Linked DNA regions of Oryctolagus cuniculus. The protein of the gene in region 1 interacts with the protein of each later gene in a pairwise test. Links are inferred from orthologs where the notes say so. Each region holds a gene or a part of one and is shown in the gene's direction. Other genes may lie near its edges. The genes, in order: APPL2, RAB22A and RAB5C.

Region 1 (3,743 bases):
CATCAAGCAATTGTTTTGTGCTAGGTAATGGACTAGGCACTATAATTACAGAAATAAATAAGAAAAAGATTCTGCTCACTCTAGCTGGATGGCTGGGTTGGGAACAATTACAGGTGTTATTCTAGAACAATCCAGCCGAGTGCCATGGATGCACATTGAAGGAAAGGAAGACCTACTTCCCTTAGGGGGACAGGAGGAAATGAAATGTTCACAGAAGCTCACGTTAATCTGGGATGTGAAGGTGGTAGCTGGGCCGGCGAGACAGGGAAGCAGGAGGAACGGCACTGCAGGCAGAGGAAAAAACTTGCCTACCCCCTCCCCCCATGCCGTTTGCTGAGCATCTTCTCCAAACGGGTCACCTGAGCCCGGAGCACCCTTGGCAGCTGCACCTCCCCTCTCCTCCCTTCCGTCTTTCTTTTCTCATTCTCAAACCCCGAGTCTTTCTCTGACCTGGTCCCTTCTTGGGCCCTTTTTATGTCTAACGGTGTCTTTCCCCCATTGGTCTTCAATGGGCCAAAGGTTACATACGACTTGCAGGGGGCTCATCCTCTCTCTCCCCGGATGTCATGGCAACTCCACACTGTCCATCTTCAAACCCCTGTCACTAACCTCACAGGTGTCCACGAATTTCAGATACTGTTAAGGGGATGTCCGAAACTTCACAATAGTTTTAAAAGGGACAGATTAGATTTTTAAAGCGTCTGGGATATTATATGAAGGTAATGTGAAATTAACTGAATTGCACTTGGTAGGAAATAGAGGAAAATGGAGCAGCACGTATGAGCATGATTCCCCTTCAGGGAAGAAAGTATATGGTGGGGAAACCAAGCAGGATGGAAGCCATAGAATGGCGCAGGCCAAGGGCACAATGACATCCCTCTTCCTCTGGCTTTCAGCTTGACCCTAACCAAGTCATTTAATTCTCTGCGTCCCATTTTCTCCTGTCCGATGACAGCACTGAACCAGATGTGCCAAGAGCAGGGCTGTCCTCGTGTGTAGTGAGAATAACCGCAGCAAAATCCGTTCGCTCCTATCTCCTTCCACTCAGCAGGCTTTTCGGGCGCCCACAAGCAGATAAAGCCTTATCTTCCTACCCTAGAGACCCCTTTCTTCGGTTTCACTCATTCTGTGCGCTCACTGCCGAAAGCGGAGCCCCAACACCGCAAGCAATCCCTCTGCGTGCAGAAGCGGAAGTGGGGCAGCCACACTTCCGGTACCTGGCCTGATCCCGCCACACTTCCGGTGTCCCGGCCTCCGCTCGCCACACTTCCTGTTGATCCGGCCGGCTGGCCGGGGGCTGGGCTGGGCTGGCCGGGGAGGCGGGCCGGCGGGCGGGCGGCGGCGGCCACTGGGCAGGCGTGGGCGCGCGCGTGGCTACCGCGGGCACGGAGCGTCCGCCGCGTCGCCGGAGCCCACAGCACCCTGGACGGCCGCGCCTCTCGCCTTTCGTCCTCCCGTCCGGCCCTCGGCCCCGCCGCGCCGCGCCATGCCCGCCGTGGACAAGCTCCTGCTGGAGGAGGCGTTGCAGGACAGCCCCCAGGTACGCCCGCGGCGTGAGGCCGGATCCTCCGGAGGGGGTGGGCGGGCAGACCCCGCGGCCGTGGGGGTCGTGGACGGTGTCGTGACGACCTTCCAGCCTCAGCTGAGACCGAGCTGTGGGGTGAGGACCGCCTGCCTTAGGAGCCGAGTGCTCGGGGCAGATCAGCGTTTGGTGTCTTCGCTTTGTCCTGTGCAAAGTAGGGGTGATGCGTGTCCCTCCTGGCTGTTGAGTGCAGTGGGGAAGTACCTGGAGAGTTGTCGGCTGGGTCTGGCGCGAGGTCTTGTCCTGTTTCACTGCTTGCGAGCTCCGTCCCGCGCTAGTACTGGTGTCATGAGACCTGGTGGGTTTCGGGCCAGGATGGGAGGCGAGGAGCCGGATGCCGTCCCCGCGGCCCCAGGCCTCCCTGGCATCGTTGTCCCACTTGCAGAGAGAGGATTACGCTGCTTGCCCTATTTGTGGCACAGGGGAGCTTGTTTAGCAAACACGCGAGTCAAAGGCTCTGAGCTGCGGGCCAAAGCTGCCTGTAGCTTCAGCAAATGAGTTCCTGACCCGGAGCCTTTGCTCTGGGGTCTTTTGTTCCTCTTCCTTTTTTAAAAGATTTATTTATTTTATTTGAGAGGCAGAAAGAGATCTTCCATCTGCTGGTTCACTCCCCAAATGGCTGCAAAGGCCAGAGCTGAGCTGATCTGGAGCCAGGAGCCAAGAGCTTCTTCCAGGTCTCCTACGTGAGTGCAGGGGCCCAAGGACATGGGCCATCCTCTGCTGCTTTCCCAGGCCACAGCAGGGAGCTGGATCGGAAGTGGAGCAGCCGGGACTCGAACCAGCGCCCATATGGGATGCCGGCACTGCAGGCGATGGCTTTACCTGCTGTGCCACAGCGCCAGCCCCATTCCTCTTCCTTTAACATTTCCCCAACTTCAAATCTGCCCTCCTGTGTGCATTCTTGGGTTATTGAAATAAGTGTCTATTCCTTACTGTCTCCACTCTGGGAAAATCCGAATGCAGTTAAGCTGTTCTGGTCTTGCCTGGTCGTCCTGGGTCCCAGTCCCTTTTCTCCCTGGAGGGAATCGCGCCCTCCTAGGGTGATCCTTGAGTGCAGGTCCCTACACCTGCTCAGCACCCCTCCAGCCCAGAATAGATCAGAAGCTCTGCGTGCCCATTCCTGCGTAACTGAAAGCAAGCTGTGGCTTTTTTTTTTCCTTTCTTAAATTCACATCCACTGGGCTGCCTGACCTTCCCAAGGCCTCCTGTATGAGACTTGTGTTGTTCAGTGGACAGAAGACAGTTTCAGAAGGCACCTCAGCCATCTGTACCTGTTGTGTGGGATCTGGACGTCAGAAAGAGGAAGTTTCTAACAGTCACTGTAACCAGGGATTTCTGTTTGCTCTGTGGCTGGGGATACCGAGGTGCTAAGATACACTGCTTTCCTTACCAGACGTGGTGATGGCCGAGCCACGTGAGAGAGGTCGCACTAACTGCCGCCATGTTGTCCTCCCTAAGGTCCTGGCTCCCACAAGCGAGTCTACACTGGGAGAGTGGTTTGTAGGGTTTACTCTGCCCTGAGGACGCAGTGAGCGGTCTGGCAGGCCTGGATTCTAATTCCGACCCTGTCCCTGACTTCTCCTGGGATGGGGGCGGGTCAGCAAATCCCCACCGAGAGGCCGGCCCAGTTAGCCCAGATCTGCAGAGCGAGAGGCAGGGAGCCCAGGTGTGTGCTCAGGGAGCCGCAGGAGCCGCAGCGGTCCGTCCTGTCTGCCTGCTTGCGGCTGTACGCGTGGCGTTTATGACTGTGGACACTGTCATTGCGCTTGGACGTGCCTCTTCACGAAGGGAGTGCCTCTATCATTGCTGCCGACCTCGGCCGCACCCTGTGAGGGGTCCTGTTGTGCTTGTGGAACAGCACGCACGCGCACTGTAAGGTCCGGGACGCTCCGCAGAGCGGGTAGCGCTGGATGGCAGGTGGCCTGGGCCTGGCCCGGCCCGGCCTCGCTCCCAGGGCGATTCATAGACTCGGACCAGAGGGAAGCTTGCCCAGCACCTTCCTCTTACGTGAAAAGATGAAGACAGCCGGAGCTCCTGAGTGCGTTTTATTGCCAGGCCCTGTTGTATCAGCTCACTGGATCCCCCAGCCATCTTTTATAGCTGGTCCTCTAGAAACGACTGGAGAGCAGAGAAGAGAAGGCACTGCCCGAGAGCTCGGCGG
Region 2 (3,643 bases), about 100 Mb from region 1:
GGGAAGCGTTAAGGAACTTTGTGTTCATGGAATATTTTATATCTTGGTGTGGAGTGTTTGCAGGTTGTGTACGTTTGTCAGCTTGTCAAACCGTGCAGTGGTGATCTCTGTTCTTTATGTGAATTTCACCCGACAAATTGGAGTTCAGAAGAGGACCCAGCGAAGAAGCCGCACCAGGGGTGCAGCAAGCATGAAGCCAGCCCGTGCTTGGCCCCGGCTGTGTCCTCTGCCTGTTGCTAGGCTGCAGAGGTTGCGTCTCTCTCAGCTAATGAGGTCGTTTCCTTCTGTAGAATGCTTTCTTGGTTTCAACTTCCGTTTTCTTCCAAAACCTGACATCATTTTATTGGAAATCAGCGGGCTTTCACCGCAGGGGCAGGTGGTTTTCTCAGACAGCCCAGTAGCAGTGTCTGTGCGTGGACACCTGGGTCCAGCGTGTGGTTTGACTGCCCCATCCTCACCAGCTCTCAACGAGGCACTCACTAATTCTTGGTTCCCTGAGATTAAATGTTGTACTAAATAGATCCGGTGTCTTCTCTCAGGGAGTTAGCAGTCATGATTTCACTTTCCTGTGAGAAACCAAGTATTAATAGGGGAGCCCAAAAGCCAAAAGGTGAGTAAGCTCGTTGGAGGAGGAGTACAAAGCCCACTGTTCACTTGTTACTCACGTGGACAGGTTGCTTCCCTGTGAGGTCCAGTCCTGCCCGTGCTTGGCACCAGGAGCAGGGCAGGGTGTGAGCTCCGTGGTGCCCGTCGGGTGCAGGGGTCAGGGTGTGTGATGAAGTAGAAGTGCAGATTTGAATGCTGGCACCACGTGTAGTGTAAGATGCTTGCACTGGCCCACCTCCCAGGAATGGGAAAGGCTCGCCATTCTCCATCTCCTCCTCATCAAGAGAAATGCCCACTGATCAGCCTGGCTGTTTAAATGCTTGTCCTCTCCCTGCCCTCTCCTCTCTGTTGTGGTGGTGGAGCAGGGGCAGGAGGGGTGGGTGGCGTGAAGCTGGTTAGGAGCTGGGTGCACGTGTGTGGCATGATCAGAACAGAAGCTGCAGACGCGTCCCGGTGGTGAGTGTGGACGTGCGCTCATCTCGGTGGGACGGTCAGCTCTTCCATCCCAGAGGCAGCCCCTCCTCCAGAGAGCCATTTACCACGTTATTTCTATCTCCTAGATAGTTTGGGAAGCCAAAGTTTAAAGAACTGTTGAACAAATGAATTTAGGAATTATAACATGGAGTTCAATTAAAAAGCCTTTTTAGCTGAAACAATTGTTTATAGCAACATATTTAATTCCTATAAAACTGTATTGTAAACTGTCTTCTGAGAGACATTTCAGTGTTACATTAAAAGTTGTTGCCTCTGGTAATTACTGGTTCATTTGCTTTAAAGCGTCGTGTCATCATCTTTGGCTTAAGAAAAAGATTAGCTTTTGTGCCTGGATAAGAGGCTGAAAAAGTCTAGTAAAAAGCGTGTTCACTGGCTGCCTCAATTCTGTTGTTTACTCTTCCTTCCACAGTTCCGTGCCTTAGCACCAATGTACTATCGTGGGTCGGCTGCAGCCATCATCGTCTATGACATTACAAAAGAAGTAAGACTCTAAGCAATTGTCTTTGGGCGGCGTTCAGAGTTCTCTTTGGGTCGTTCAGATCTCCACTTGCTCTTCCCTGTGTCGCAGGAGACATTCTCCACGTTAAAGAACTGGGTAAAGGAGCTTCGACAGCACGGGCCGCCCAATATTGTGGTTGCCATTGCAGGAAATAAGTGTGATCTTATCGACGTCAGGTGAGTTATTAGAACACGAGATTACAGTGTGATTATCTGTTCCTTTTCTTAATGAGCAATATTCACCATAAAATCTTGCTGTTATTTTATCTCTGTCATTGAAAAATTCCTTTTTGTTGTATGGTTGCAGTCCTGAAGTTTCAAACTGAAATTACAGTTTGGAGCTAATTCTGTTACTTACATAGCGGGTGTGTGATTTACGTAAACGTTGATTGCATCGCACTTGACAGTATCGGAACTCAGTGCAGCCCTGAATACTTGAGTGCTCAGGCACACTGACTGGGCATGTCTCTGTGCCACTTCCATGACTCACAAAACAAGGGGCTTGTGGGTTTTTGTGTTGTTTAATTTGGGTGAGGGTGGGGGGATGCCTGCCAGTCCCTGGTCATTCCATTAGCTGCATTGCTGGTGGTTGTGAGCTTTGCTTTGTTGTTTTCTAACCAAAGAAGTGGTCTCCTTGGAAGAACGTGTGGTCAGTTCTTCTGTCACAGCCATTCAGGACATCCTGTGTCGTCACAAATCTGGCTGACTGCTAGGTAGGTGGGGATAGCATTAAGAACTTAATGGGTAGAATTTCTGATTTGCAATTTTTGCCTTCCAGAGAAGTCATGGAGAGAGATGCTAAGGACTATGCCGACTCCATTCATGCAATTTTTGTAGAGACCAGCGCAAAAAACGCGATAAACATAAATGAACTCTTTATAGAAATTAGTGAGTATCTGTATGCCTTACGGGTTTCCTCTGTGCAGAGCAAGTTAAAATAGAATTATCTTTCTGGTTAGAATTCCCACCTTGCTCAGAGCAGTCCAGGCTCTGATATCCTCAGTGAAATGAGATTTGAGAACATGAGAGTAACAGCCGGCTCCATATCATCGTGTAACTGTGGAGAGCTGCTGCCTGAGGACAGTGGCCCTTCCAGAAAGAACGTGCCGCTGAGTGAACAATGCCCAGGGTGCTGAGGTCGTGGAAGCTGTCATCTCTCCCTCTTTCTCTATTTAAATGTTTCAATCAGTCGTTCAAGGTCATTGAAAATGAACAAAATAAAAGGGAATGAAATACAGGTGTAATTTCACTGAAAGAAAACCCTCGAAAATGAATACAGGCGAGAGACAGGGAAGCCCTCTCTCCCCGCGCTGCCCTTCCCGTCCCGCGGCGCCGCTGTGGTGCCGCCAGCCAGGAGCCGGCCTGCTGCTCCCTCGGGATGCTCTGCAGGTTGCAGCTGTGCGTGTTCGCTGCATTCAGATTCATCGAAACGTTGATTGGGAGCTGCCAGACCAGGGAGACGGCCAGGGAGACGGCCAGAGGAGACGGCCAGGGAGACGGCCAGGGAGAGACGCAGCCCCGCTCCCCTGCAGTGCCTGCCGAGGGAGGCGCACCCTGAACGCCAGATAAATAGGATCATTTCAGATAGCAATCAGTGATAAAGAGGAAATAATTTAGAGTGAAATTTTTTTTGTTATTTGACAAGTAGAGTTAGAGAGAGAGACAGAAAGGTCTTCCTTCCTTTGGTCCACTCCCCAACTGGCCACCATGGCCAGCGCTATGCCGATCCGAAGCCAGGAGCCAGGTGCTTCCTGCTGGTCTCCCATGCGGGTGCAGGGCCCACGCACTTGGGCCATCCTCCGCTGCCTTCCCAGGCCACAGCAGAGAGCTGGACTGGAAGTGGAGCAGCCAGGACTAGAACCGGCGCCCATATGGGATGCCGGTGCTGCAAGTGGAGGATTAACCAAGTGAGCCACAGCGCCAGCCCCTAGAGTGAAATTTTTAAAAGAAGTACGTTTGCAGGCGGTCAGGGAAGGCTTCTCTGGAGAGATGGTCTTTGATCTGAGGTCTGAGGGAGCAGGCCTTGCTGACGTGTGTGGAGTCC
Region 3 (3,743 bases), on another chromosome or scaffold:
AGTGCCCAGGGGACTCCCTACCCTTCCTACCCAGGGAGGGGTTGCTGGGCTCCGTGCAGCAGGCGCTGGGAGAAGAGCTGGGCACCAGCCAAGCTCCTGGTGGGAATCTCACCCTGCCCCATGCCCCCTGCCCTCCCAAGCCCTCCCAGCTTTCACTTCTCTGATGGTGGCTGCCAGGAGGAGGGGAGCTGTGGATGTTCTAAAGAAAGAAGCACCTGCTAACCAGCTGCAGCCAGATGTGCAGCCAGATTCTGCAGCTCAGCCTCTAGGCTACGACGGGTGATGGCGGCTGTCACAGACAGATTCCATAGGGCTTTTGGGTAGCGTCCCTGAGGAGTGAGAGGAAGAAATAGGAGAGGTACTGGCTTGTGTTGGGAGGTGAGGGGCTGAGGAGGGGAAGGGGGGGCGGGGAGAATAAGGAGAAGTGGCCCTAAACCTGAGGGAGAGGCGTCGGAAATGTCTCAACCTACGTGGGGGTGGGGATTCCAGCTGAGGCAGCAGGTATCCAGCTCTGTATCTGCTTCCAGTCGGGTGTGGGGAGGGGTAGAGGGGCAGAGGTGGTTCTGTGTGTCTAGGGACCAGCCCAACGCAGGAGGGTTTATAAAGCGCCCCCTTCTATGTCACCTAGCATCCCAGAGCGCCTTCCCCATCACACAGTGCCCCCAACTTCAGGAAGCGTGGCCAGGGGCTGCTCCCAGTTAGCGAGTGCACGAGACCCACGCGGCCTCCCGTACGAACTCATTCACATCACGTTTGCCCCCTCCCCAGTTCTACACACACAGTCGTCTGCCCTCTCCCATCGCTCCGCAGCCATTCGCCTTCCCTCGGGGCTCCTGGAACCCGCAGTGACGCGATTAGCAGCCCAGGCCGGCTCCGCCTCGCCCCAGCCGGCTCCACCCTAAGGCCAAGTCCCAAGCAGGCGACGGCTCCGCCCAGTGCTGCGAACTACAAGTCCCGCCGTCCCTCGCTCGCTCTCTCCCGCCTCTCCCGCGACCCTCACCGGCACCGCCTATGGGTCGGCCAGGAGGGCCTCCCATTGGCTTCTCCGCCCTGTCAGTCACCTGGGAGTAAGAGGGGCGGGGCGGAGGTAGAGATCCGGATCCGGAGCGGCTGAAAGGCGGAAGTGGAGGCCGGAGCCTGGGACACCGCCGGGGGGGAGAGGAGCGAAACCTGTCCGAGCCCCGTCCCCAAGTAACGCCGCCGTCCCCGGAGCCGCTGTGAGTGTGCCTGTCCTGGGATCCAGTGTCTCTCCAGCCCAGTTGCCTTTGCGGGGCAGCCCTTCCTTCTGCCCAGCCCTATCTTAGGGGGATACTGACCCCTCCCCCGACCCGTAGCCCCTTCTTAAGGCGCTCCGCAGGCGTCAGGCCACAGGAAGATCCCTTCTTTCCTCGACTTACCTGCCCTTTGTGAACCTTGGGGAAACCCCTGCGGCTCTCCTCTGGCCTGTCCAGTCCAGTCGCGGCGGAGAGGGACCCTGAGTTCCGCTCTCCCTGCTCCCAGAATCGGCCGGTCTTTGCCAGGTGTGCAGGAACCTGCCCCTCTTCTCCCGTAGAGGTGGCGGGGAGGGCTGTCTGTCGCCGTGTCCCCCCCACCCCGGTCCCACAGAAGCAGTTGTCCCCCGCCAGCCCTGGAGAAGTCTTGTCTCGATTTCCTTTGGGGGAGGGTGGTCTGGGGGAGGCGACTCCACGCGCATAGAAGTGTGTGTGCTCCCACAACTCCCGACTCGTTCTCCCTCCTCCAGCCAGAGAGCCAGCCAGGACCTCAGCGGAGTCTGGGGCGCGGGGCACTCCTTGGGAACGAGCAGCCTTCTTGTTTTGTCCCCGCTGTCCCCCGGCCCTGTCCTCTTGAGTGTATCTCTCTTCCTGCCTCTGAAGAATTCAGCTGAGGTTTGCTCAATGCTAGGTCAGGGTGGCTCTGCCCATTCATTATCTTCTGGCTCCCCTACTCCTCCCCCTCGGCTCCAGGCTCAGCCCTGTCCTCCCGAGAGCACGTGAGCGGTTCCCCAAGCTGCCTCTGCGGGACTGCCTTGTCCGCTGGGCTGTAGAGGAGAGAATAAGCCCAGAGAAGTGAGGAGCTGGGGCTTGAAGGACCGTTTCTTTGCTGCTCCCAGACACACACACTCGACCGCCGCCCCAGCAACAGGTCCACCCTCACCGGGGCCTCGCCTCAGTCCCCGGGGCTTGGACGTACTACAGACCAATGAGTCGAGGGCACAGTGGCAGTCTTGGGTTCTTAGCTAATTTCTGTAGCAAGAGGAGTTCCCAAATCTGCTAGAAAGGGCTGCCCTCCCCTCCCCCCGGCTGTTTTGCCATAGGATCCTACTCTGTTGTTTAGGAACTGGGTGTGTGAAATGGCTGCTGTCTCAGACCAGGCTAGACCGTTCTGTTACGTGGCCAAAGTACAGGCCAGAGACTACCTTAATGAGGAGCAGCTTGCCTGAGGCCAGGACTGACCCTTGCTATCTGCAGGGGAGGAAGGGAGGAGAGCCCCACGCTGCCGGAATCGCCGGAGCTCCTGGTGTTCCTGGGCCGCCCTCACTGCCCTTGGCTGCTGCTTCCCAGTGTTAAAGGTGTTTCTGCTTTGAGATCTTTTTTGCTGCTCTGGACAGTTGCTAGTGTGTGGTCCCTACAGTCTTTTGAGCTCGGTCTTGAACGCACTTGTTTCACTTTTTATTGGACAACAAAGCAAAACTTCCTTATTGGGCTCAACAGCTGGATCACGAGCCCTGAGCCCGTGTGGGCTCCTTGGAGACTTTGTCCGCCCTCCTCATCGGACCTGGTGGGGCTGTGGGGCTGAGGGCAGGGCCGCTGGTTCTGACGGGGTGGGCCGTGGCTGGCGGAGCGCTGCAGCAGTGCAGGGATGAGGCCGAGCGGCCGTCCGAGGGGTTCTTCTTTGCGTTGCAGCTCTGACTCGGAAGCAGGCTTCGGGAAGAGCAGCTCCCTGTTCAGAACAGTGGGGAAGGCTGTACAGCTCTGGGTGGCTGTGTAGCCACTCTGGCCTCCAAAAATTAAAGCATCGTAACAGGACGAACCCTGCCTGGCAGAGGGAGGGCTCTGTGTGGGGCAGAAGCCCCTCCTCTCTAACATGTTCCCTCCTTCCCTGGGCCCGTCACAGCGAGCTGGCCTTTTTTCTGCTGCTATACTACAGGGTGATGGTAACTGCTAATTGCTTTAGGTCATTGCAGAGTTGCAGACTTCTTTTCACACACGTCCCTCACACGTTCCTTGGGAGGTAGTGAGATTTGCATTTCCACATTGGAGATGATGCCTAAGACCACGCGGTTAGGAGGTGATGGCGCTGAGGCTTGGGATCTGGGCTCAGATGTGACCTCGGCCTTCCCTAGTGACTGGCCCTTAAATGAATGAACAGGTAGGGTGAGCATCAGGGGCACAGTGCAGGCTCTGAGCCCCTGCACCATCCTTGTCCCTGGCGCTGCTCTGCTTCCCATCTCTTCCCCCATCTTCACCCCGGCCTCCTGGCCTCCTCCTTGGCCCCCTGTGCTCTGCCTGCAGGGGCCCTGACAGGAGTTGGTGCTCTGCAGGGCCCAAGTTCGCTGACATCTGACTGCCGTCAGTTTCCTGGGAACCTGCCGGCTGATGGTTGGAAAGTGAAAGTGAAAGCCACTGGGCTCGGGGGCCTCCTGGGCCCCAGTGAGGGCGGGAGGGCCTCCGGCTGCCCTGCAGTGCTGCCCGAGGTGACGCGCCTTCACTTGAATTTACTGGAAACAAGGAGGTCAGGAGTTC

Evidence for each region.
Region 2: the proteins of APPL2 (region 1) and RAB22A interact in binary tests that used the Homo sapiens proteins (3 or more experiments, as listed by UniProt). The two-hybrid records come from large-scale screens. The link is inferred for Oryctolagus cuniculus from reciprocal best matches to the Homo sapiens genes APPL2 and RAB22A.
Region 3: the proteins of APPL2 (region 1) and RAB5C interact in binary tests that used the Homo sapiens proteins (3 or more experiments, as listed by UniProt). The two-hybrid records come from large-scale screens. The link is inferred for Oryctolagus cuniculus from reciprocal best matches to the Homo sapiens genes APPL2 and RAB5C.

The regions. Positions count from the first base shown.
Region 1 is NC_091442.1:107,909,981-107,913,723, reverse strand, and holds the start of APPL2 (DCC-interacting protein 13-beta), read left to right. Parts: upstream 1-1,282; 5' UTR 1,283-1,486; coding exon 1,487-1,540; intron 1,541-1,786; exon of another isoform or gene 1,787-1,959; intron 1,960-3,743. UniProt on the Homo sapiens protein: Multifunctional adapter protein that binds to various membrane receptors, nuclear factors and signaling proteins to regulate many processes, such as cell proliferation, immune response, endosomal trafficking and cell metabolism.
Region 2 is NC_091442.1:3,835,400-3,839,042, reverse strand, and holds part of RAB22A (ras-related protein Rab-22A), read left to right. Parts: intron 1-1,510; coding exon 1,511-1,582; intron 1,583-1,669; coding exon 1,670-1,776; intron 1,777-2,377; coding exon 2,378-2,487; intron 2,488-3,643. UniProt on the Homo sapiens protein: Plays a role in endocytosis and intracellular protein transport. Mediates trafficking of TF from early endosomes to recycling endosomes. Required for NGF-mediated endocytosis of NTRK1, and subsequent neurite outgrowth.
Region 3 is NC_091448.1:20,643,162-20,646,904, forward strand, and holds the start of RAB5C (ras-related protein Rab-5C), read left to right. Parts: upstream 1-1,058; 5' UTR 1,059-1,217; intron 1,218-1,397; exon of another isoform or gene 1,398-2,133; intron 2,134-3,743. UniProt on the Homo sapiens protein: The small GTPases Rab are key regulators of intracellular membrane trafficking, from the formation of transport vesicles to their fusion with membranes.